Linked DNA regions of Rattus norvegicus. The protein of the gene in region 3 purifies or fractionates together with the protein of the main gene of each other region. This does not show direct contact. Links are inferred from orthologs where the notes say so. Each region holds a gene or a part of one and is shown on either strand. Other genes may lie near its edges.

Evidence for each region. Proteins that work in one complex are often made in the same cells at the same time.
Region 1: the proteins of Brd8 (region 3) and Max purify together in Homo sapiens (affinity purification with mass spectrometry; 3 studies listed by BioGRID, with this or other methods). This does not show direct contact. The link is inferred for Rattus norvegicus from reciprocal best matches to the Homo sapiens genes BRD8 and MAX.
Region 2: the proteins of Brd8 (region 3) and Jazf1 purify together in Homo sapiens (affinity purification with mass spectrometry; 3 studies listed by BioGRID and IntAct, with this or other methods). This does not show direct contact. The link is inferred for Rattus norvegicus from reciprocal best matches to the Homo sapiens genes BRD8 and JAZF1.

Annotation. Positions count from the first base shown.
Region 1 is NC_086024.1:101,390,786-101,398,117, reverse strand, and holds the start of Max (protein max), read left to right. Parts: upstream 1-2,827; 5' UTR 2,828-3,022; coding exon 3,023-3,058; intron 3,059-3,116; exon of another isoform or gene 3,117-3,255; intron 3,256-3,734; coding exon 3,735-3,761; intron 3,762-7,332. UniProt on the Homo sapiens protein: Transcription regulator. Forms a sequence-specific DNA-binding protein complex with MYC or MAD which recognizes the core sequence 5'-CAC[GA]TG-3'. The MYC:MAX complex is a transcriptional activator, whereas the MAD:MAX complex is a repressor.
Region 2 is NC_086022.1:83,509,140-83,516,613, reverse strand, and holds the start of Jazf1 (juxtaposed with another zinc finger protein 1), read left to right. Parts: upstream 1-2,969; 5' UTR 2,970-3,029; coding exon 3,030-3,144; intron 3,145-3,661; exon of another isoform or gene 3,662-3,745; intron 3,746-7,474. UniProt on the Homo sapiens protein: Acts as a transcriptional corepressor of orphan nuclear receptor NR2C2. Inhibits expression of the gluconeogenesis enzyme PCK2 through inhibition of NR2C2 activity.
Region 3 is NC_086036.1:26,499,016-26,506,620, forward strand, and holds the start of Brd8 (bromodomain-containing protein 8), read right to left. Parts: upstream 4,992-7,605; 5' UTR 4,974-4,991; coding exon 4,955-4,973; intron 3,965-4,954; coding exon 3,868-3,964; intron 1,041-3,867; exon of another isoform or gene 410-1,040; coding exon of another isoform or gene 150-409; intron 1-149. Other genes in the region: kinesin-like protein KIF20A, read left to right, coding at 5,907-6,068. UniProt on the Homo sapiens protein: May act as a coactivator during transcriptional activation by hormone-activated nuclear receptors (NR). Isoform 2 stimulates transcriptional activation by AR/DHTR, ESR1/NR3A1, RXRA/NR2B1 and THRB/ERBA2.

The sequences.
Region 1 (7,332 bases), on a different chromosome or scaffold from region 3:
TCAATCTTGAAAGGCTCGAGGGCTTGAAACATTTTTACGGCTTTACCGAAGACTCACCTGTGGAAATAAGTTAGATTGCCATATCGAAGAGACTAAAACGGACAATGCTGGCCCTTGTGCACAGTTCTTCCCTAAGCACACGTCTTGTTCATGAAAATGACAGGCCACTCAACTCCATTTTCTCACAGGACAGAAGAGGACCATACATTTTTTTATCAATCTGTCTCCACCCTCACAGGCTAAGATTACAGGCACGCTACCACGTCTAGCTTTTTATTTTTAATTTATATTATTATTACTATTATGTAGTGCCAGAGGTCAAACCTAAGTCCTTGTGCATATAAGCCAAGTTTATGCCCACCCTGGTATTATTATTTCCATTTTAACTACATTAGATCTAAGAATGTGTTCTCTGACATCACATCCGTCAGTCAAAACTTACCGAGATGTATTTCATGGCTCAGAACTCCATCAGTTCTTGCAAATGTCCCATGAGTCCTTCAAAATAATATTCAATTTCTGGGTAGTTTTTGGTTTTTTTCTCATTTATTTCTTTTCTTTTTTCTTTTTTTGTCTATTAGATCAGAGGTACTGGCCAGACTGACAGATTTGAATAGTCTCGTCAATTACTCTAAGAAAGCTGAACTTGGGTAGCACACGCCAGTAATTCCAGGCCTTACCTGAGGCAGGAAAATTATTGAGAGTTGGAGGGTTTAAAGTGAGTTCTAGGCGCTGAGACCCAGCGTTTACTGCCCCTCCCCCTCAAGAAAAATATTATCAGGAAGAGATGTGTTAGCAACCGTGGTCTCTCCTCCTGGAAAGCCTTTTCTCCATTTGTCCAGATGTCCTTCCAACACGTGGAGATGCATGGTGAGCTGAATTTGGTTGGCTCTTCATAGGCCTAGCCCTTGTCCTGGAAGTCTAGGGGACACCTGGCCCTTACTTCCCGCCCTCCCCGAAATCTGGCACTCTCCTCTAAATTCATATTGCTTGCTGTCATACAGTCTGCTTGACGTGTCTACCTTCCCTACAGTGATTTTAGAATTTACTCCCTCGTTAGATTGTAGCCATGTGAGCAAAGATTATCTTTATAACAGATTTGTTGACATATAATTATTAATATATCATAAAGCCCACTCCTTGAAAGAATATAATTCAGTGAAAGCTCGTCTTTGCCTTGGCATCTTCCAGGTTTCACATACGAATCACCTGAAGACCATGAAGAACTGTCTTTCATTGGTCCTACTCCCTCCCAAAGGTTTTGCCTTAACTGAGCAGGGGCATGGAGCAGGCATGAGGGTTTTTCTTTCTTTTTTTTTTTTTTTTTCGGAGCTGGGGACCGAACCCAGGGCCTTGTGGTTGCTAGGATATTTTTTTAAAGTCTCTGAATAAACTAACTTGCAGCTAAAGATGTCTGGTAATACTCTGCACACTGCAGGGAGGTATACAAGGATGGTTTGCTGTGATCACCCATTGTCTCTACTTCTGGTATCCAGTTAACTCTTACTGTCTTTGTCTCCCTTACAGACCTTGACTTCTATTACGGGTCAGTGTCTGCTTATGACTGTGTTCTCAACACTAGGCTTGGCCACACACCCATTTTAAGGCCAGCCTGGGCTAGGAGTCACAAAGATTGTATACACCACCAAGTTTCTGTACTCAACAGTCAGGAACTTAATGATTTTTTTTACTCAAAAACAACAACAACAAACCAACCAGTAACTCATGGATCAAACTCAAGACCACTCACTTTGAAGATCAGTTATAAAATTTCTCAGAAGACGAAAGTGTATTATTACTGGGTTGTTTGTTTGTTGTTTCATCGAGGACCTGGCTCACACTAAAAAAGGTGACAGCGTCGTCCGGTTTTCTGCTTCCACAGCTGTGAAGTCTTTGAGGGGACACATGCCATTCCTGGCCTGCCACATTATTAGATAGTTAAATATTGGCGGGATGAATGTAGTTAAACTTCATACCTAGTTGTGTGAGTATCACCTTAACTGGACAGGAAGCTGCACAACTTTCCCGTTTTGATTCTGTTTGCAGTTAATTAGAGTTCTCTAAACGGGGGCACTCCCTAATCTGCTCTGGCTACGACAAACATAAGGTAGGTTTTACTTGCACCTTCGAGAGGTTTTGTAAACATTCAAGCCCAGTAAGGACAGTTCTCTACGACAAATGAAAGCAAGACTCTTGAGACAAGGACACCCCTGTGAAGTCGGTCCTTTAGCTTGTCTCGTAATGCCTCTTAATACTTTAAAATCAGATTCAGAGGGTCCGCGTGGGCGTCTGGACCGCGCCCCCTGGTCAGCCGCAGCGTGATTCCTGCCCCGTAGGTTACGCCCCAGGGCGCAAGTGGAGCGACTCAAGCATTAAACAAGACAATGTAAAAGCAGTCTAGCCAAGAAGAGACAGTGTTATTTTGGCAGCCAGTTTCTCCCCCAGAGCCTCCACCCAATCCCTTGGGCCGGGCGCCCAGAGCTCAGAATTGTGGCCGGCTCCAGGAGCCCAGCTCCCTCCACGTGTCCTGTCTTCCCAGCAGCCTCTCCGCCGCCTGGGGAGGAAAATCTCCTGACAACTCGCGGTCTATGGACTACATCTCCCGGGAAGCACCGCGCCACTTCTCGCAGCCAACACCCGGGGCGCAGGCGCTCTGCGCTCTGTCAACAAGCGGGTCTGACGAAGACTGTGTGCGGTTCCTGATGGGATTTGTAGTTTCTCTGGCTCTCTCCCACTCGCCCATCAGACGCTCGAGGACTACAAGTCTCAGCTACCCCGGCGCGGTGAGCCCGGTCACGTGTTAGGGGGCCGATCGGGCGTGCGTGCCGCCGTTGATCCGGTGCTACAGTGAGGTGGTTGTCGCCCGTGTTGTGTGTGTGTGAGTGTGTGAGTGAGTGAGCGAGTGAGTGAGTGAGTGTGTGCGTGGGGGCACTCGGCTTGTTGTTGTCGGTGACTTCCCCCTTCCCTCCACCCCTCCCCTCCCCGGCCGCCGCTGCAGTGGCCGCTCCCTGGGCCGTAGGAAATGAGCGATAACGATGACATCGAGGTGGAGAGCGACGTGAGTCCCGGGGCTTCTTCCTTTCCGTTCGGGTTGTCAGGCGGGGACAGCGGCCAGGGCTCTCAGCCAGGCGACGGCGGGAGGGGGGCCGGGTCGCCGCCGCCTCCGTCCTCTTCCCCCGGGGCCGGGACCGCCTGCGTCGCGCTCCAGGCTCGCTCCCCTCCAGTCCTGTCCGGAGAGGCCTCCTGGGACTGAAGGTGGGAGCAGACACGCGGCCTCCGGGACCCACACATTCTCCCGTGGAGGAGGGTGTCGAGGCCTCCCTCTCCACTCTGCCGGGCTGGAGATCCCATTATCCGTCCGGATCCTGGGCAAGGAGACCAGCGCTCAGTTCTTGCTCATTGGGTCCATGATCTCCCTCCTCCGGTGACCGGTTGATCCTGGGGGTGAAGGGGCTGGGAGTGCTCTGACGCCCGAGAGGGATCGGGAAAGAGCAGACAGTGCTCCGGATCCCTCTTGTCCGGTTCGGATCCCAGAAGGAGGGGCAGCGCCTGGGACCCCCACTAGGCTACGGGTTCTCGCTGGAGAGAGTGGAAGGGAAAAGAGGGAGGGAGGGGTGTCAGGCTGACTACCCACCCGCTGCTTCCTCCGCCGCCGGCATTTTCTTTCTTATTATTGAATTCGAAGTGCGAAAATAACTTCTATATTTTCTATTTTTTTTTCTCTCTTATTCCAGGAAGAGCAACCGAGGTTTCAATCTGCGGTACGTCTCCTACTCTCCATTTCATTTTCATTTCCGTTCAGTTTTCGTTCTTTTTGGAGTCAGAGAGAAAAAGAGATCGTTCTATTACTTTTAATAGTCTTGTAAACTCCTCTTAACCGCTAAGGTGAGGTGGAGTCACTTGGGGTTGGAGGAGGGGGGCGTTGCAAATCCTCATGATTCTGGATTCTCAGGTGGTAGATTCTAGTGAGTAGGTAGGTAGCTAGGTGAGTGAGAGGAGGCCTGTGCTTCGAACTGAGTTCTGTAGTGTTCAGTGAAGGATGCAGCCGAGGCGTGTGAGAAACGAAAGAGCATTCCGAAGTGAATGGTAGTGTTATTTCAGAGCAGACTGGTCAGGTTTATTTAGGAGGTAAACTTTAAGCAGTGTCTCCATAGTTGTGTGAAGTCGCAGGCACGCATAAAGATCAATGTCTTTAGCCAAAGTCTGCTACAAAGACTGCTACAGCCCCTAGAATATAGAAAAACGCTTTATTCGCAACAACAACAATGGGAAAGAGAGGCACCAGAAGTTAAATACTGAGAGTGTCACCGCTTTTTGTGGTCTGACTTTCCGTTTGAGAAGAAAAAAAAAATTATTGCTAAGCGGCACTGTAAGAGATAGCTTCGCTGGAAGGTGATGGATGGGACTTCTTAGGATTGTGATAGTAATGGTTTTTATGGGTGTTTCTGGCTTTGAGTTGACCCTATGCTCCCTTGTGTTTGGAGTCTGAGGCTTAGGAGTAAATGGGTATAGATTAGGGAGAGAGAAAAGGAATAGACTCAGAATAAATCCAATCAGAGAAGAGAAACAAATGTAATATTTGATGATTGGAAGTGGTAAGAAAGGGGTGTAGAGTGCATTTTCCTGTGAGGGCCAGGTAATGAGCTCGTGAAGGATAGAGGGAAAGGTGAGGACTGGTGTATGCACTGAAGGATGCACACCCCTTCTGAAGTAGCCACCTAACTCTGCTGCTTGCTCCCCGAGAGTGAGCTCAGGCTGCCAGATCTTTTTTTTTACCTTCAGGGCTGAGCCATATCCCTGGAACTTCTAACTTTATGAGAAATGTTAATATGCTAGAAACACAGATTATTACTTTTTCTGGTGTGTTTATATGCATTTAATTTTTGACTGTGCTGGGAATTGAACCCAGGGCCTAAGGATGCCTTGCAACCCCTCTGCCATGGAGCTACAGCCTCAACCTACTTGATTTTTCTTTTTAATTACATTTATTTATTTAACGTGTGTGTGTGTGTGTGGGTGGGTGGGCGTGTGGGTGTGTGGTCATGCATATGTCATGGCTCTCATGTGAAGATCATAGAACAACTTGGGGGAGTCAGTTCTCTTTTCAGCACGTGGGTCTGGGGATTGAATTTAGGGTCATCAGGTTTGACTACAAAGCCTTTACCCGCTGAGCTGTCTCTTTAGCTTCAGTTATCTGATCTTTAAAATGATACGTGGAACAGCTGCTTAGGACTTGTAAAGAGTTTGCAGGATGTAACTAGGCTTGATTATTCAGGCCTGTAAACCCAGTTACTCAGAAGGTTGAGGTAGGAAGATCAAACATCCGAGCCTGCCTCTGCAATTCCTTAATACAAAAACCAACACAGCACAGAGTCCTGGGTTGTGACCCAGTGTGTAAGCCCAGGGCTTCTGAGGCTTTGGCAGAAGGGTTGCCCTGAATTTTAAGCCCACCTGGGATATAGAGTGAGTCCCAGCCTGGACTACAGCATGAGATTCTGCACAAGAATTCTCTGCTTCTGTCTCTTTTTCTGGGGAGCAGATGTGACAGCTCAAGTGTAGGACCCAGCTCCTCAGTGTTTCTGCTCTTCATTAGGGCATCAGATTGTGCAGACCCCCGAAACATCATTTGTTGGGAACTGATTGATTCTGAGTGCAGTTATCTCAGAGGTCTTAAGGATTGTTCTGAGATTCTCACTGAAGATGTTTTCTTAATGAAGCTTTACACAGTTGTCAATAGAACGTCAAATCCCTTTTGTGTCTTGTTTTTCAGCTGTTATCCTTTTTTTTCTTTTGGGAGAGGGAGGAGTCTAAGCTTTGTCCTGGAACTCACAGAGATCCATCAGCCTCAGGTTCCCGGATTAAATGGGATTTAATCAGCTGGGATTAAATGTGTGCACCACCCTGCCTGGGTACTATTCGTCTAATACTATGGACCTGGTTGTTTTCCTTTGAGCCTGTTCTATCCTTTGAGCCTGTTCTACCAAAACAACAACAAAAGCCAACTCTTCCTCCCTCTGAGTCTCTGGTTATGAGATCTGCGCAGGGCTTGATCAGGGTTAGAGGGCAAGACTCCTCTTGAACTGGAATTAGGTTTGCCTTTCAGTGAGAGATGTTTTCTTACTTTATGATAAGCAGTTATTGTAGGCTTTCTGCCTTTTAAAACATCCCTCTGGGTGTTTAATTAATCTACTTCTACAAGGCTGATCTTAACTTTGTCTACGTGTTTTAACTTTTTTTTTTTTTTTTTTGTTAAGGTGCTTAGGAATTTTTCCTTTCACTTTGGGACATGGACAATGAAATTTTTGTTGTTGCTGAAGGTTGAACCTTTGAGACCCTTTGTTTTAATTCAGTATGCTTACTTACTGAGATTTTTCTGGTAAAGTTTATCATAGCATAGACAAAAAACAGGTATATATTATAGACAGAGTGCATTGTACAACTGTCACAAATGGTCTGGGAACCGTATTCCTTCCTTTATCCCTGTGAATATCCATTTGCTTGTTGAAATTTAGTATAAATAATACATTTTTTTTCTAAAATGTGGAAAGCTATTAGGTTTTATCTTTGGAAAACCATTTTAAAAAATGGACTCTGGACAACTAGATGTTTAAGATTATAGAAAAACTTTTAAAAAGTTATTTGGAACTAAGTGTGGTAGCTCACACTTGTAATCCTAGCACTCAGGATAATTGAGACAGGAGGATTACCATGAGTTCCACCTGATCTATAGAAGCGCGAGCACGCACGCGCACACACACACACACACACACACACACACACACACACACACACACACACACACACACACACCAAGTTATTTGGGACATGTTCTGTGGGTCCTAACATGAAAAGATGATCATAGTTTCTGCAGTCAGTACAGAGTCTTCCTCATGAAGAGTGCAGGCCCTTCAGATCAGTATGGAGGGAGGCTAACGAAAGTGAAACTGATGTGGAGAGTGCTGCCCACGGAAGGGGAACAGCACTCTCCAGTGAGCAGCAGACATTAGAGGAAGTCACCCTGAACACTAGTTGCTAAACTTGATAATTGCAGAATCTCACCAGTACTTTTTTGTGGGACAGGGGGCATAGGTTGTATTTTAAAGATAAGTTTGTGAGGCACTTACTTTATGCAAGAGGTTTCTTTTGCTTTACTTCTGTTTGGATAATTTCTCTGGAAAAGAGTGAAAGTTTATGTGCAGCGTAGGATTCCTGAGTTGGTCAAGGAACCTGAGGCCTTTCTCCATATACTGTCCTTCGCTGCATCTGTGAATTCAACATGTTGCAGTTACTATACTGACTGAGGTTTAAGACAGGTTTGTGCTATTCCACTTC
Region 2 (7,474 bases), on a different chromosome or scaffold from region 3:
AAAGCACTTCATGAAGGCCTGAGAGGGGATTCACATTAGGTTTAAATTTAGAAGGCCACCATTTATATAGTAGTGCTCTCTACAGTGCTAATAGAAGTCCATATCGGGCACAGGAAATGCATGCTTTGATTGGCTGAGTATCTTGAATTCCTTGTGTGGAAATCAGACAACTGCATAACAGACCTTCTGTTGGCTTTCAGGTGGCTCCATGAAGCCGCTGTGTTCCCACCTCCCTGGCAGCTGCCCATCCTGAGGACCCCGGCACACAAGCTTTAGGAGTCTCTTAACTGTAATGTCACTTAGCTGTAAGTCATCTGTAATGGCCCCTCCTATCCTATGGCATTACTCCACACACACACACCCCCACACCCTCATGTAGCCACTGACCAAGAGAGGTACAGTGCTCCAGAGAGGCCCTAAGTTTCCAAGAAAAGGATCTTGGAGGCAGGGAGTGTGTGTAGTTCATGGCCACTCTCTTATCTGATTCTTTGGTTCTCTTGTCACCCTGCCCTTTGAGATAGTTTTACTCCTCCAAGCGAGACAGAGAAATGTTCTCTCAAACCAGAAGTGCACCAGTCTCCTGGAAGCAACAGGATGAGGTGTTTGGTTCACATGATTTTTATAGCCTAGACATAGACTTTATGTAAAAGAACAACAACAAACGTTTTAAAATGTAGTACGGCACAAGCAAACATTTCATTACAAAGCATTTACTTTTCATTTGTTTGTCTGTGGTTACTTGGTCTTTGACCTGTCTATCACTGCTTTGGTGTGTATACAAAACCAATAGACTTGAAGATGTAGAAGGTCATGATTTTAAACCACCAAGAAGAGGAAGATGTGTGCCAATGAAAAGAGCAGGGTGTCACCTAAGCAAGTGTCACCCTATGCTAAGTTGTGGTGATATACTGATTTTTTTTTCTCACAACATGTAATGGATAATTTGAACTCCTTGAAAATTATAATTCGTTTCATAGTTACTTTGGTTCTTCACATTAAAAATAATCAATATGCTTAATTTGGCTGACCAAGCTTTTACTTGGCAGGCACACTTTGTAATAGTAGGGGGAGGGGCTGAAGGTAGCCAAGAGGTATGCACTAACAACACCTAGCCCCCTTCCTTCCTTCTTTCCCTTACACCCTTCTGGCCTTGCAGTAGATAATTCCACATAGAAAGTCATTCCTCCAGAGAACAGAGTTGTCACTTCAAGTCTCAGGGCACTCTCCCAGCTGCTGCAGAGTTGGGGTGCCTCATATCTCTAAGGAGGCTGTTCTGGCATCATTCTTGGCTGGAGTTTCCCCATTGCATTTCCATGTCACTGGGTGCAATGTCTATCTGCCAGATATTCTGCCTGCTCTCAGCTAAAGGCCTTCCTCCCTGGCGGGACAGCTGAGCACACTGCACAGTTGCCAACATTCTAATTCAAGATGTAGAATTCTAACTCCTGCTCTTTAGACCCCTGTCTGGTCCCAGTTTCCAGCCAAGCAGGTCCCTGGCTCATTATCAAATCCTTGGGTGCCCTTCCCCCATCCTCACTTGGACCCAGGAAATTATTCCTGGCACCAAACTGAACTTTAATGACCTGCTGCCCCAGCCCCACTCAACTCAGCTCTCCCTTCGGCAGATTTGTCACCCTGGAGGCTCGAAGAAGCGACAGACCAGACAAAAATGTCAATGGGTGGGAGAACTCAGCCTCAGTCTTTATGACTGGGAGATTGTGAAATTTTTCTCGGTGACAGAAATACTACATATGTCTGTATTTAAATTTACACGAAGTGACCGAACAATCTTAATATTAGAAATAACACAAGTGGTATATATAGTTTAAAAAAGACAGGATTGCTATTTTTTCTAGGTATATGCACCAGAAGGTAAGTGGAATTGTTCTAAAGAAAAATGCTAAATTCAGAATGCATGAGTGATTTAAAAAAAAATGCACCCTCAAATCATGCACATTTTCCAGGGCTCCTTGAACACCTGGAAGAAAATATACACCTTGTAGGTAAAATGTAACTGCAACTGGGGTTGGGGACCAGAAGATTCTTAAGAGGTTAATTGGTCAAATTTATGGCTTAAATGCTCACAGGATGCTATAATCCTAATTGATTGGTGAAATCTTCATTTTTAAGTAAAAATCGAGTATGCTTGGACTTCGTTTCCAAACTACTGTGCTTGCCTTTTCTTCTGGGCAGCAGCACTGCCAGACCTGAGCCACACACAGCAAGGGGTGCATGAGGTGCACTAATTTGGGGTAAAGAAATTGAGATTTTTGGTTTTCTCAGAAGAATCAGGGAGAACAAACGTGATACATATGTAGAACATAGTCAAATGCACTTGTCAACCAAGCACTCTATTTTGAAATTTAAATAAAGCTAAGATTTTTCTTCCGGCCTAGGGGGAAAGCTTCATTAAAATCAATTAGTTACTACTAACCTCCAGAGAATAAGGAATTTAAAAAAAAATTTTTTTTTAAATAGAAAAGTTTAAAGAACAAGGTGCACACAATTACCTTTCCTGGGTCCCTAGTGAATGCCATTGTCACACCTAGACAGGTGGCCAAGTGCAAACAAATGTCCCCGAGAGGGCCGGGTAACTCCCAGAGTGCTCATCTGGGGGAAACCATGTGTAATTAATAGATGTGTATCTATTAAGAATGTAGTGCACATAACCAAGGGAGGCTTCGAGCCGACTGCAAGCACCTCACACGGCGAAGGGCAGGCCCAGGGACGTAAAGTTGGAGGCGGGAGCTGCCAGGTGAGGCCTGGGTCGCGGAGGTTGGGGCCCGCACAGCTGCAGGCGCGCGCCTGCTCCCTCCTCCCAGCCGCCGAGTCCTCCCCGCCCCCTCCCCGAGCTCCCGCCGCCTCCCGCTGCCTCCCGGAGGCTCGGCGCTGCGCTCCACCTCGCGCCCCCTCTCCTCCGTCCCGGGCTCGCGCTGCCCTCCCCGCGCCTGCCCCCTCCCCGGCCCCTCCCTCCGCCTCCGCGCGCGGCGCTCGCAGAGCCGACTCCGGGGGGCTCTCGATGTAGCACCATGACAGGCATCGCCGCCGCCTCCTTCTTCTCCAACACCTGCCGCTTCGGGGGCTGCGGACTCCACTTCCCCACGCTGGCCGACCTCATCGAGCACATCGAGGACAACCACATCGGTGAGGCCCGGGTGGGCGGGGGTCGGGCGGCGGGCGAGCCCCGGGGTGGCGCGGGCCGGGCGCCCGATAAGGTGCGGGCGTGGAGGGCCGCGGGGCGCGGGGATGGCCGGCCGCAGGGTGAGGGCGGGCGCGGGCCGCGGGGGGCGGGTGCCGCACGCCGCTTCCGCCCGGCCCGAGCTGTCAGGCTGGCGGGAGCCGGGGAGGCGCCGCCGCGGCAGCCATTCCGCTTCCTCCCCCGCCTGCGTCCTGTCAGCGCCGGTTGCTAGGTGTGGCGCGGCGGGAGGGGGCCGCGGCGGCGGGCGCGGGGCTCTGCGTGCTCTGAGCGGCGCGGGCGCGGGGCCCGGCCTGGCGCGGCGGCTGCGGTTCTAGCGGCTGCGGGCCGCGCCCATCCCTAGCCCGAGCGCCCCGGGGCCCGGGCAGCGGAGGGGAGCCCGCGGGCGGCGGGCGGGCGTGTCGCGGCGCCGGCGTTGCGGCTAGGCCGGAGGTGCGCCGGTCCCCGCGGGGCCTGCGCGGCGCGGGCGCGGGGACGCGGGGGAGGGGCGTCCCGCGGGGCGGGTTGCGTCCCCGGGGACTCAGAGACCTTCTAAGTCCTGCGCCTCACGTAAGTCCTTGCACCACGTTTGCACTCTCATCCCTGCCCCTGCGGAGGGAGATGGGTCTGGTGCTTCTGGCTCTCAAGACCCAGCCACCTGCAGAAGGTGTGGCCACTCCCTAGAGTGCCCCGGTGGGTTTGGAAGGTGAAAAGGGCCGCGGGTTGCCTGGATGAGGCTACCTGTGAATTGCTTCAAGAAGACCAGATGAATGCCCTGGATTCGGCCATGTGGATGCAGCTCACGTTTCTGCAAAGTTGAGAGAGTAAATCACGACTGCTGTGCATTTATGTACGAATAAAATGAGGCAGAGCCTTATGCCCCTTTGCTTTGTAGGATGCTTTCTCCTTGCACACAGTGGGCGCTTAATAAGCGTTAAGTGCCTGTTTAGAGCAGGATTTGATGGGCCATCCAGAATGGGAGCTAATCATGAAAATTGTCTGCAAAATGCCATTGAAAACAGAAATCTGATGAGTAATTGCCAGGCTTTGAAAATCTTCAAAGTTTCAAAGTATCTCCTTAGTAGTTTCCCCCATCTCTTCTGATAAAGGACCAGGTAAAGGACCTATGCTCTCAAGTTTTGGTGGTCTTACACGAGGTTTAATACAGTAGCAAAGTTGCTGATTCATATCATAACTAAGTGGTCATAACTAAAAGTGCTCCAGGTATAAAGTCAGTTTCTCATCATGGCTTAAACTGTAGTGGTGAAGTTTCAAGACCAGTCTTCCTAGTTCATCACTGGACTCCCCTTACTCCTTAAACTAAATGGAGAGGGTAACAGGAAACTGTTTTCACAAGTTCCATCCGTTTCGTCAGTTATATCAGGATAAACAATAATTTATGCAAGTTGAATGAGTAATAATTGTACTCCGGTTGCTTTCCTACTTGAACTACTAGCTGGTTAAAAAGATAATTTAGTTCTAGCATGAATTAAACAGTTTTTTCCTTTTGAATTAACTTGGAATCAGACGATTTAGACTAGCATTGGTAAATCATAAGCCTTTTTTTTTTTTTTGAGTTGGCAAAAGTCGTCCCAGTGCTGTTCAGTTATCTTTTAAGAGGGTCAAGGGTTTATGAATTTTCTAAAACTAATCTTTTAAGTGATGATATCTCACTCCCCAAGGTCTAGTGATTTTCTTTAATGGTGAGAGTATTGAAGAAGTAAGTTTACATTGCTTTGGCAAGGCTAACGGTTATTATACTTGGGACATAGTCGTTGCAGCAAAGTTTCTGAAAAATAGATATTAGAATGAGCAGACGCTTGGATCCAGACCTTGAAGAGGCTTGCTGGAACTGCCGTGCACCTCAGATGAGAAGAAGCCTTCAAAGGGCAATTGGCCATGCAGAGAGAGATGAGATTTTAGCTCATACAGTATAACATTTGGATTGGCTGGTACTGTGCACATGTACTTAGGATGAAGAGGCAGGAGTGAAAATACAAACGTACTCACGGAAGCTCTACATATTATCATTTATTGTGATTGCTGTGCACACGACATAAGCTATATACATGAGATAGTGAGTTTTTTGGTTTTTAGTAAATGGTGGCTTCACTGATTTAACATCTTAATCAGCCAGTGGACCCAGCCAGTGGAATCATGAAGAGACCCAAGATGTATATGTTATTTTACTTTTATTCAAGGGTCTTACTTACTTAGTGCCATATATAACCATGAGGGTTAGAGATATGACTGGTTTTGAATTGTTACCATTTAATCATTAGTCAAAAGCACTGACAGACTTTTCAAAGCCTGTAGTTTTCATTATTACTATTGTTTATCATTCAGATTACCTACGCTAAGTTGTGAATGGCTGTCTTTCATATGTGTGTGTGTGTGTGTGACATATATACACATACATAGACATGTATATGTATATGTAGCTGCATTTTCATGTGTATGGTGATTCTGATTATTGATCTGATAGCTTCACCTTCAAAACACCAGTTTTCCCATGCAGTTCCAGCCACAGCTCTTGTTTTTAACCTCTTTCCATTTCTGGTAAGGATCAAGGAGCTGTGGCTTCAAAGACAAAATAAATCTGCTTCTTTCGTCTTTGTCTTAGGCAGTGTTTCTCCTCCTTAAAGATGCTCCTTTAAGACACATGTTCTTCTCATTTGCTCTTTGCTTTTTCCCCTTTCATGTCTGTTTGTCTGGTAGTAGGGCTAGGTCCCTTCTCAGTGAACAACCCAAGTATCCTGAGCCTAAGCCTTCTCCTCCCCACTCACTTACATGGCCTTAAAACACCCGCAGCTGGGTAACTGTGAAGTGCTACTCTCTCCGCTCCGCTATCCACACAGAGGCCTGGTGCTGCTTCCTGGAGGCCAGAGAAGCTTCTCATGGTGAGTGGATGCCCAAGCTTGTAGAAACACTCTTGGCGTGACAATCATAAATACACCCAGGTTAAACTGGTAACAAGGAGGCTTGGAAATACAGAGAACACTAAATTTAGCAAGAAGATCATGCCTTAGACTCATGAATGTCACTGCTGCAAAATCTTTTAGCTTTGGGACTCATAAAGCAACTGTGGAACCATTAGCTGGTTTCATCCGTGTGTGAAATCACACCTGCTCTTTGGATTTATTTATGTGATAGCATAGCACTTGCTTTTTGCCAGGGACAGTTCTAAACATTTGTTGCCTTTTGGTGAAGGAAAACAAAAACACCTGAGTTTGGGGTATCTTAGATGCTAGTGAAGAAAGATAAATAACAATTTACAAATGATAGAATATGTTAGAAGTTAGTTAGTGATACAGAAGAAAAGTTAGAATAAAATACAGTGGATTTGAAGTAATGAATGTTAGAATTTTAAATAAATTGGTCAGGATAGGCCCTAGAAGCTAACACAGAGTCACAGTCTTAAGAGAGGTGACATCAGTGAGAGCAGGGAGGGCCAGGCAGGGAGAGCAGACATGGCCCAAGATGGGACCATGCCTTCGGAAGAGACACTTGGGAATCTGACCCAATTTTGTTCTTATAATGGTGATGAACTAACATCCCTGATGAACTAAAAGAGCTAACTTCCCCTCCATGGCAAGAGCTGTCACCTTAGCTGTCACTGATTCAGGTTTCCATTTATTGGACTGGAGTCTTAGTCACAGGAAGTGGCTTTCCCTAGCCAGGACAGGCATCTCTAGACCTAGAATATCTCTAGACTTGACATTTTTACCTGTTTTCCTCTAATTCACAGGTGCTTCATTTCATAGAGTAGATATAAAGCTATCTAATTAATAAAGTCAGAGCCTCTGAAAAAAACCATGAGGATAATTCCTATCAGTAATGTAGACTTGCTTATCGAGATGACCCAATAAATGTTATGGTTTGAATGAGAAAGGTCTCCCATAGGTTCATGGGCTAGAATATTCGGTCCCCAAATGAAGTACAGTTAGTCATAGAAAACCATGTAACTTTTAAGAGGTGGAAGCTGGCAGGAGGAAGTAGGCCTTTGGGGAATAGAAGGTCCTTGAGCCCTGCCCCACTTCCTGTCTGTGGTCTGCCTATTGATTGGTGATACAGTGTGACCGACTACCTCATACTTTTCGTTGCCATGCCAGACTGTTCTTCATTCCTTGAGCCAAAATAAATGTTCTTGTAAGTTCTTTTTCTAAGTATTTTATGACAACAATAAAAGAAGTAACTTTGATAAAAAAATTAATACTGAGAAGTGGGGCAGTTGCTGTAATAAATTATAGAAGCCTTTGGAACTGGCTTGTGGGAGTCTTGTGGAAGACTGGAACTTCA
Region 3 (7,605 bases):
TTACTAAAGAAATTTGACCAAACAAAAAATGAACCCCCTGCAAAAAATCATAAATTTCTCTACAGATATGCAATGCTCATACAGATATAAAATGCTCTTACAAAAAGAGAAAAAAAGAAAAGAGAATCAGGTCCAGCAAGATAGCTTACCTTGTTCTAAAAGCCCTACAACCTGAGTTTGATCCAGGAACCACACGGAAAGATATTACTGTTGAAAGACCCCATAGTGGCCATACCTCAGGAGTGCCACTCACAGAGCAGAGATTGACACGCTGCAACAGCATGAGGGTGTAAGTTTTTAATCCATGTACATGGGGTTGCTCATCCACGCAGGGAGAGGCAACCTCGAACCCAAAAAGCACAGGGCAGAGAGCAGACTTCAGCGACAGGGTTAGCTGGCCTTTTCTCATTGGCAGTACACAGGACAAAGGATCTGGTCAGGTATTGGCTGGCCTGCCCAAGGGGCTGTTCTTGGCTCAGTTAGATGCTTTCCTCATCCAGCCCTACACCTGGCCTTGGAGAGTCACTGGGAAAGAGCTAAGTCTTTTGGGGGGGGGGGGGGTGAACTGGGTGTTGGGGAGGGTCAGGATGACATCTTGTGGTTGTTCTTGGAATTTACCACAGGGAGGGGTAGGGGGGTCTTTCCCAGAACAGTTGTTATTGTTTTGTCTTAATCAGCTTAGTCAGAATTGCCTCAATATCTTGATCATCAAAACTTTATCATCTCACAGGGTTCCCTGACGTCAGATGTATCTCTCAGAAGGGTCACAAGTTTGTCATAGGCATCCTGCCCCCCAGATGCATTTCTCAAAACCTTGTTTTCACAGCTTTGCTTTTCACATCTGTGAAGCTTTATTTCTTCATTCCCATACACAGTTCATCAGAGAAATGCATACAAAACAACGTCAAGGATGCCAGGCAGCATTGTTGCACACCTTTATTCCTAGCATTTAGGGAGGAAGGTAGGTGGATCTCTGAGTTTGAGGCCAGCCTGGTCTACACAGTGAGTTCCAGGACAGCCAGGGCTGTACAAAGAAACAAAAAACAAAAACCCAAAACAATAAACAACTCGATGAGATGGCTCCCATTTTTAATTCCAGGTTGGAAGGCTAAAAAGGGGAAATCAGAGATCTAGGCCAGCCTGGACTACCTACCTACCTACCCACACGCGCACACACAAATTCCTCAGCTGATAAAGTCACTTGTCTCCAAGTCTGAAGATCTGACTTTGATCCCTATAAACCCACAAGGTGGAAAATCCTGCAAGCGGTCTTCTGACGCCCGGCCCCACTTACAGTATACATACACACATGCAATCATACAGTAAGCATAAAAGAAAATGAGATGACTTCTAGTATAGCTACTATAAAAATAAAGAAATATAGTGAAGCAAAAAAAGAAACTGGAGAGGATGGGGCTATAGTTAGCAGAGTACCTGCCTAGCATGCATGAAACCAAGGTTTGATGTATACTATGAAAACTGGGACTCAATGTATATGCCAGTAATCACAGTATTTAGGAGGTAAAGGAAACACCAGGAGTTTAAGGTCATCCTAGCTACATAGGGAGTTTGAAACTAGCTTAGCTAAAAGAAATAAAGGTTTGAGCCAGTCACAGTGCTCAGGAGGCAGAGGCAGGAAGATCTGAATATGAGGCCAGCCTGGTCTATCTACATAGTGAGTTCCAGGACAGTCAGAAAAGAAAGGAATGAAGGAAGAGGAAGGAAGGGAGGGAGGGAGGGAGGGAGGGAGGGAGGGAGGGAGGGAGGAAGGAAACAATCACCACCAACAAAGGTCCGAACTTGTCTGGGCCACCCCCCCCCTTTTTTTTTTTTGCTGAGCATGGTGGCACATGTCTTTAATCCTAGCACTTACAAGACAGGGTAGAAGGATCTCTGTGAGTTGGAGGCCAGTCGGATCTACAGAGTGAGACTCTTGCCTTTTAAAAAAATAGATGGTAGAATCTTTACCCAGCATGCACCAAATTCTGAGTTCCACTCCCAGCACCTGTACTCCCCAAAATTTGGAGGGATAAAGAAATGACTCAGGGGTTGAGAGCATATTTTGCTGCTTCCACATAGACTCCAAATCTGTTCTAGAAACCCATGTCAGCCAGATGTTTCATAACTGCCTACAACTCCAGGGGATCTGATGTCCTCTTCTGGCTCCCAAGGGATTCTGCACTGATATGCCCAAATAACCCCAATACACAGATAAACATACTTAATTTTTGAAATAATAAAGAAAATGGTTTGGCAGTTCCTCAAAAAAAAAAAAGAAAGAAAGAAAGAAGGAAAGAAAGAAAGAGAGAAAAAGACCTAGAGCTACCATATGAAGACCTAATTCTGTCCCAAGGTGGCAGTCCAAATGTCAGGTAATGAATATGTAGTTGACTGTCCATAGCCAGGAGATGTGCATTCTTGGATTTCCTCAGCCTGGGACATTACAGCCATGTCCAAAACCAAAAAGCTATCTGTACTTGTACGCCCTAAACCAGTGACTTCAATCTTCCTAAAGCTTCGTCCCCTTTTACAGTTTCTCATGCTGTGGTGACCCCCAATCATAACATTATTTTTGTTGCTACCTCACAATTATAATTTTGCTACCATTATGAATTATAATGTAAATATTTTTCTAGACAGAGGTTTACCAAAGTGTCACCACCCACAGGTTCCTCTGCCCTAAACCATTCACATGCTATTTCATTGCATTAGGTAATATAATCCAGAGATAATCTGGAGTATTCAGGAGGACAGGTGTTGGTTATATGCAAATATGGGATCTTATGTAAAGGAACTGAGCCACCACCATCTTTACCCCTCAAGGGTGCTGGGACTCAGTCTCCATGGGTATGGAAGGGATGGTTGGTTCATGTTTTCATCTGGCCAATACTAGAAAAGTATTCATATGTTACATGTGAATAAACCTTGAAGAGTGGTATGTTAACTGACTAAAAAGCTGGTCCCAGAAGACTACATATTATACCTAAAGGATAGCCAAGTCTAGGAAAAGTAGATTGCTCAGGGAAGAGAGGGAGTGGTAAATGTAGAGACTTTCTTATTTTATGTATATGAGTACACTGTTGCTATCTTCACACACACACCAGAAGAGGGCGTCAGATCCCATCACAAATGGTTGTGAGACACCATGTGGTTTCTGGGAGTTGAACTCAACCTCTGGAAAAGCAACCAATGCTTTTAAACTCTGAGCTATCTATCTAGCCAGACTTAGTTTAAAGATTAAAGAAACTTCTTAAATTGCAGGGACGGCTGCACAAGTTTGTGAAAATAGAAGAAACCACCACTATTTTCCCTGCCAGTAGGCTCATTTTATGCTTTATGATTTGTATTTTGGTAAAGCTGACCTCTACATAAAGCTTAAGGTAACTTAAGGAATACACTGAGGTGAAAAATACTTAGTCCTGGCTAGCCTGATCCCATATGTCTTTAACTCCAGTACTAAGAAGGCAGAGGCAGGCATTCTGAGTTCAGGCTAGCCTGGTCTACAGGATGAATTCTAAGATAACCATGGCCACACAGAGAAAACCTGTTACAAAAACAAACAAAAGAACAAAGAGAAAGATACTCAGCCCAACGGGTCAAGAAAGCAGATATCTGGGGTTGGGGATTTAACTCAGTGGTAGAGCGCTTGCCTAGGAAGCGCAAGGCCCTGGGTTCGGTCCCCAGCTCCGAAAAAAAGAACCAAAAAAAAAAGAAAGCAGATATCTGGGGTTGGGGATTTAGCTCAGTGGTAGAGCGCTTGCCTAGGACGCGCAAGGCCCTGGGTTCGGTCCCCAGCTCCAAAAAAAAAAAAAAAAAAAAAAAAAAGAACCAAAAAAAAAAAAAAGGCAGATATCTTAGATTCCTTACCAGTTCTGATCCCCACTCCTCATAACAGAAGATGCTAAACACAACTTCTCTCGGATGGACCATGGTTCTGTCGGGCCAGTACTCAGCAGCTTGTGCTCTGGAAATAGAGAAAGCTCAGAAACAACCTCCGAACTAGTTCTGAGCCCCAGAACAGCTAAAAGTCTGATATAAACCAACACCCCAGGCAAATTGTGGAGTGGTAATTCTGGTTCTCAGGAAGCAGAAGCAGACAGATTTCTGTGAGGCTAGCCTGGTCTGCATAGTGTGTTCCAGGTCAGCCAGGATCAGTCACACAATAAAACCCTGTCTCAAATAAATCTTAAATTAGTTCGAACAATGTGAACTACTATTATCAATTATAATCACCAAATCTTGAGTTTTCACCATTCCAATGAAATATTACCATTATTGACCAGGGTGCTTTCATTGAATACACATTTATAGAACATTGTGTTTAAATGCCATAGCTTCAAGGTGTTCTGCTTCCAAAAGAAAAAAAAAAAAAAAAAAAGAAACTGGCAGTGTTACGTTAAAATAAGGTTCTCATTAAAAAAAAAAAAGTTTTAAAATTGTTTGAACTCGGGCGTATTTCCCAAGATTCCAATCGGCCACCGGCTCCTACTGCCCACCTCCTTTTTTGCATAAAGTTGTTTACATCTCAGCTCCTCCCCCCAATCGTCGGGTATAAAGAGTTCGTTGGTGAAACTGAAAAAATGGCTGAAATACACGAGATGAGTTTCCCCCGGTGTCAGGAAACGCCTACATCAGCAGATAATCATTTCGACTGCTTCTCACAGCCTGGTTAGATAAACAAATGAGTCGCTGGCCACTTCATACTACCTTTATGTTTTACCCCAGAGAGCGTCTAGCACACAAAGGCTTCCTAGGCTGTTTTTCACCAGCTTCCGATTCCTCCCACCACTGTTAAAACCCCAGGTGGTGGTTCTGAAAGCGACGTGAAAGGCAGGTCTCTGAGTTTTGCGCTCTCTAACAACCCACTCCTTCCGCTCCTTTCGTGCCTGAGAAATGGAATGCCTAGTCTGGACTCTACAAAGGCCTTGACCATAAAAGCTGCTCCGATACTCACTGCCTGTCCCGGTCGCCATTTTGGCTCCGACGTCTTCAACGATTGCGACAGACGCGAGGAACTCTGGGAAAAACTGTATGAGTCCGTTCGCGGTGCCTCGTGGGTAATGTGGGTGGGTCTGTTTCCTAATAGACGCGAAATCCCTCTAGGAAAAATTTTCTTTTTAACTAATAAAGGACAAGCTGAAGCCTCCGAAATGAAACGTCTAGGTTTAGAACTAAGTGAAACGAACCCAATAACGAACACCTTGGAAGTGACAGTTGGTAACCCGGACCCACATTGAAAGCAAACGGTCTTCCGGTCGCCTCTGCTCACTCCCTTTTGCTGATTGGTTCCTTCAGCCTTCGCTTTCTGATTGGTCGGATAAGCTCAGCGCGCATTTTAAAACATTGTATGAGGAACAAAGCTGTTCCTCGTGGGCGGAGTTGTGTTCTCCGTAGCAGGAGTCGTGGGTCTCAGCTGGGTAGAAGCTGGGAATCAGAGAAGCAGCGAAGCAGGCTGTCTTCAGGTGAGTGCAATTGGGATGGAACTCCGGTTATCAGAGTGCAATTGGGGATGGAACTCCGGTTATCAGCTGTTGCTTGCATATCGTAGTCCTCAGAAAGCTCCTAGGTCTTTCATAATTTCCTAGTTCTCGTGGTCTTTGGAGTGAGTACCCTTTGGAAAAGTACCCTTGGGATCTGAAACACACATGCATTGGCAGGCCTGGACAGCCTCTGTGGAGCGTGGCCTTCTGTTCTTCGTGCCTATTCACCTTCAGAAATGCAGCTTCGGGCTGATTTAGTTGTTCTCATTCTCTTCCCCTTGGCTGTAAAGGTGTATAGTCTCGACCAAAGCAAGGACGTCGCTTTTTAACCAGGGGACTGTTTAACCTAAGTTTGCAGTTTTTGTGCGTTAATGTTCTACCCATCTACTCTTGTCTCTTTTTAGACATAGACTGACCCTGCTTGTCATGTCTCACGGGATCCTTTCTCCGCCAGTGGGCTTACTCTCTGATGAGGATGTTGCAGACTCCCCCGTGTTAGAGTCCACAGCTGCAGATCTGAGGTCTGTGGTCCGAAAGGACCTGTTGTCAGATTGCTCTGTCATCTCGGCCTCTCTGGAGGACAAACAGGTAAAGGAGTTCTGTGGCTTAGGAGCAGAAAATGGTATCTTCAGCTTAACAGTTATTTATACAAGGTAGTATGAGATCAAAGGCTAGTAATTCCTGACAGAGGCAGAAAATAGCGCGGATCTCTGTTAGTTCAAGCCCAGCCTGGTTGACCAAGTGAGTTCCAGGACAGCCACGACCACCCAGGGAAGCCCTATCTTGAAAAACCAAGGGGCTGGGGATTTAGCTCAGTGGTAGAGCGCTTGCCTAGGAAGCACAAGGCCCTGGGTTCGGTCCCCAGCTCCGAAAAAAAGAACCAAAAAAAAAAAAATATATATATATATATATATGAATATTATTAGCATATATTCATGAAATATCCCAACTGTAGTTGCACCATGCTTTTTCAGTTGGGAAGAATAATATTATTTCTCTAGTATGCAGGCTATTAATGGTAGGTAATCATACAAGGACGGAAGGTGTGAGGGTGCATGTTCAGTATGTCCTAGGTTCAGATGTTAGCACCACATACAATTATTTGCAGAGAATCATGGTGGCCTTATGTAGGTAGAACGGAATTCCTGTTTCATTAATAATTGTAGCTGCCATTGCCTTAGTCTTTCTGTTGCAGGACCAAAAGTTCTCAGTTATAGCACTGTTGATGTTTGGAGCCAAGAGTTTGTTGCCCTGTACTTGGCAACATGTTTAGTGTTGTTTCTGGCCTCTGTCCACTACATAAAGTACATTTTCACTACTTAGAATTCAGTGTTGGGAACACAGAGACATTCTCTAAGTATCTGCTGAATCAATGGAGTGGCTACCAGTCACCTTCCTTCTTCAGTGAGTCACTCAGAATTTGTTCATGGTCTCCTAACTACTCAGTGATAAAGTCGAGTCTCTGGTTTGTGCATATCCATTATTTATTATTGTTAATTTATGTATGTGTGATGGCGGGTATGCACAAGTGGAAGTCAGGATAACCTTGTAGAGTCAGTTCTCTTCCTTCTTTATGTGGGTTCCTGTGATTGGACTCAAGTTGGCAGGCTTGTTCAGCAAGGTGAGACATCTTACTAACCCAATTTTCATTACCATGCTTTGAAAAAAATTGTATTTATCAGAATTAAAAAGGTGGTCAGGGTCAAGAACCCTTCCTGTTTTTTCAGATGACCCAATTAGCTTCACAACTCCAATGTTAGATGGCTCACAATTGCCTATAACTCCAGACTATTGTATCTAACACCTTCACAAACAAAAGAATAAATGAAAGTTATTTACTTTGAGATAGTATTTGTAAAGGCTGGCTTTAATTTCTGATCCCCCATCTCTACCTACTACTGAGTGCTGAGATTACAAGCTCACACCACCATACCATGCTTGCTACATGTTGATGTTTTCAAACATCAACCCATGCTACCTTAGATCATTGATATAGCAAGCCAGGTTTATAGGGCAGTGTTGAAACAGGGAAGGGCGACAAAGTTCTTGTGAGCTGGAAATGATTGTGGAACCAAAGAATAGCTGCACAGGACCGCTTAGCATGGAATGAGGGAGCCTTAGGATC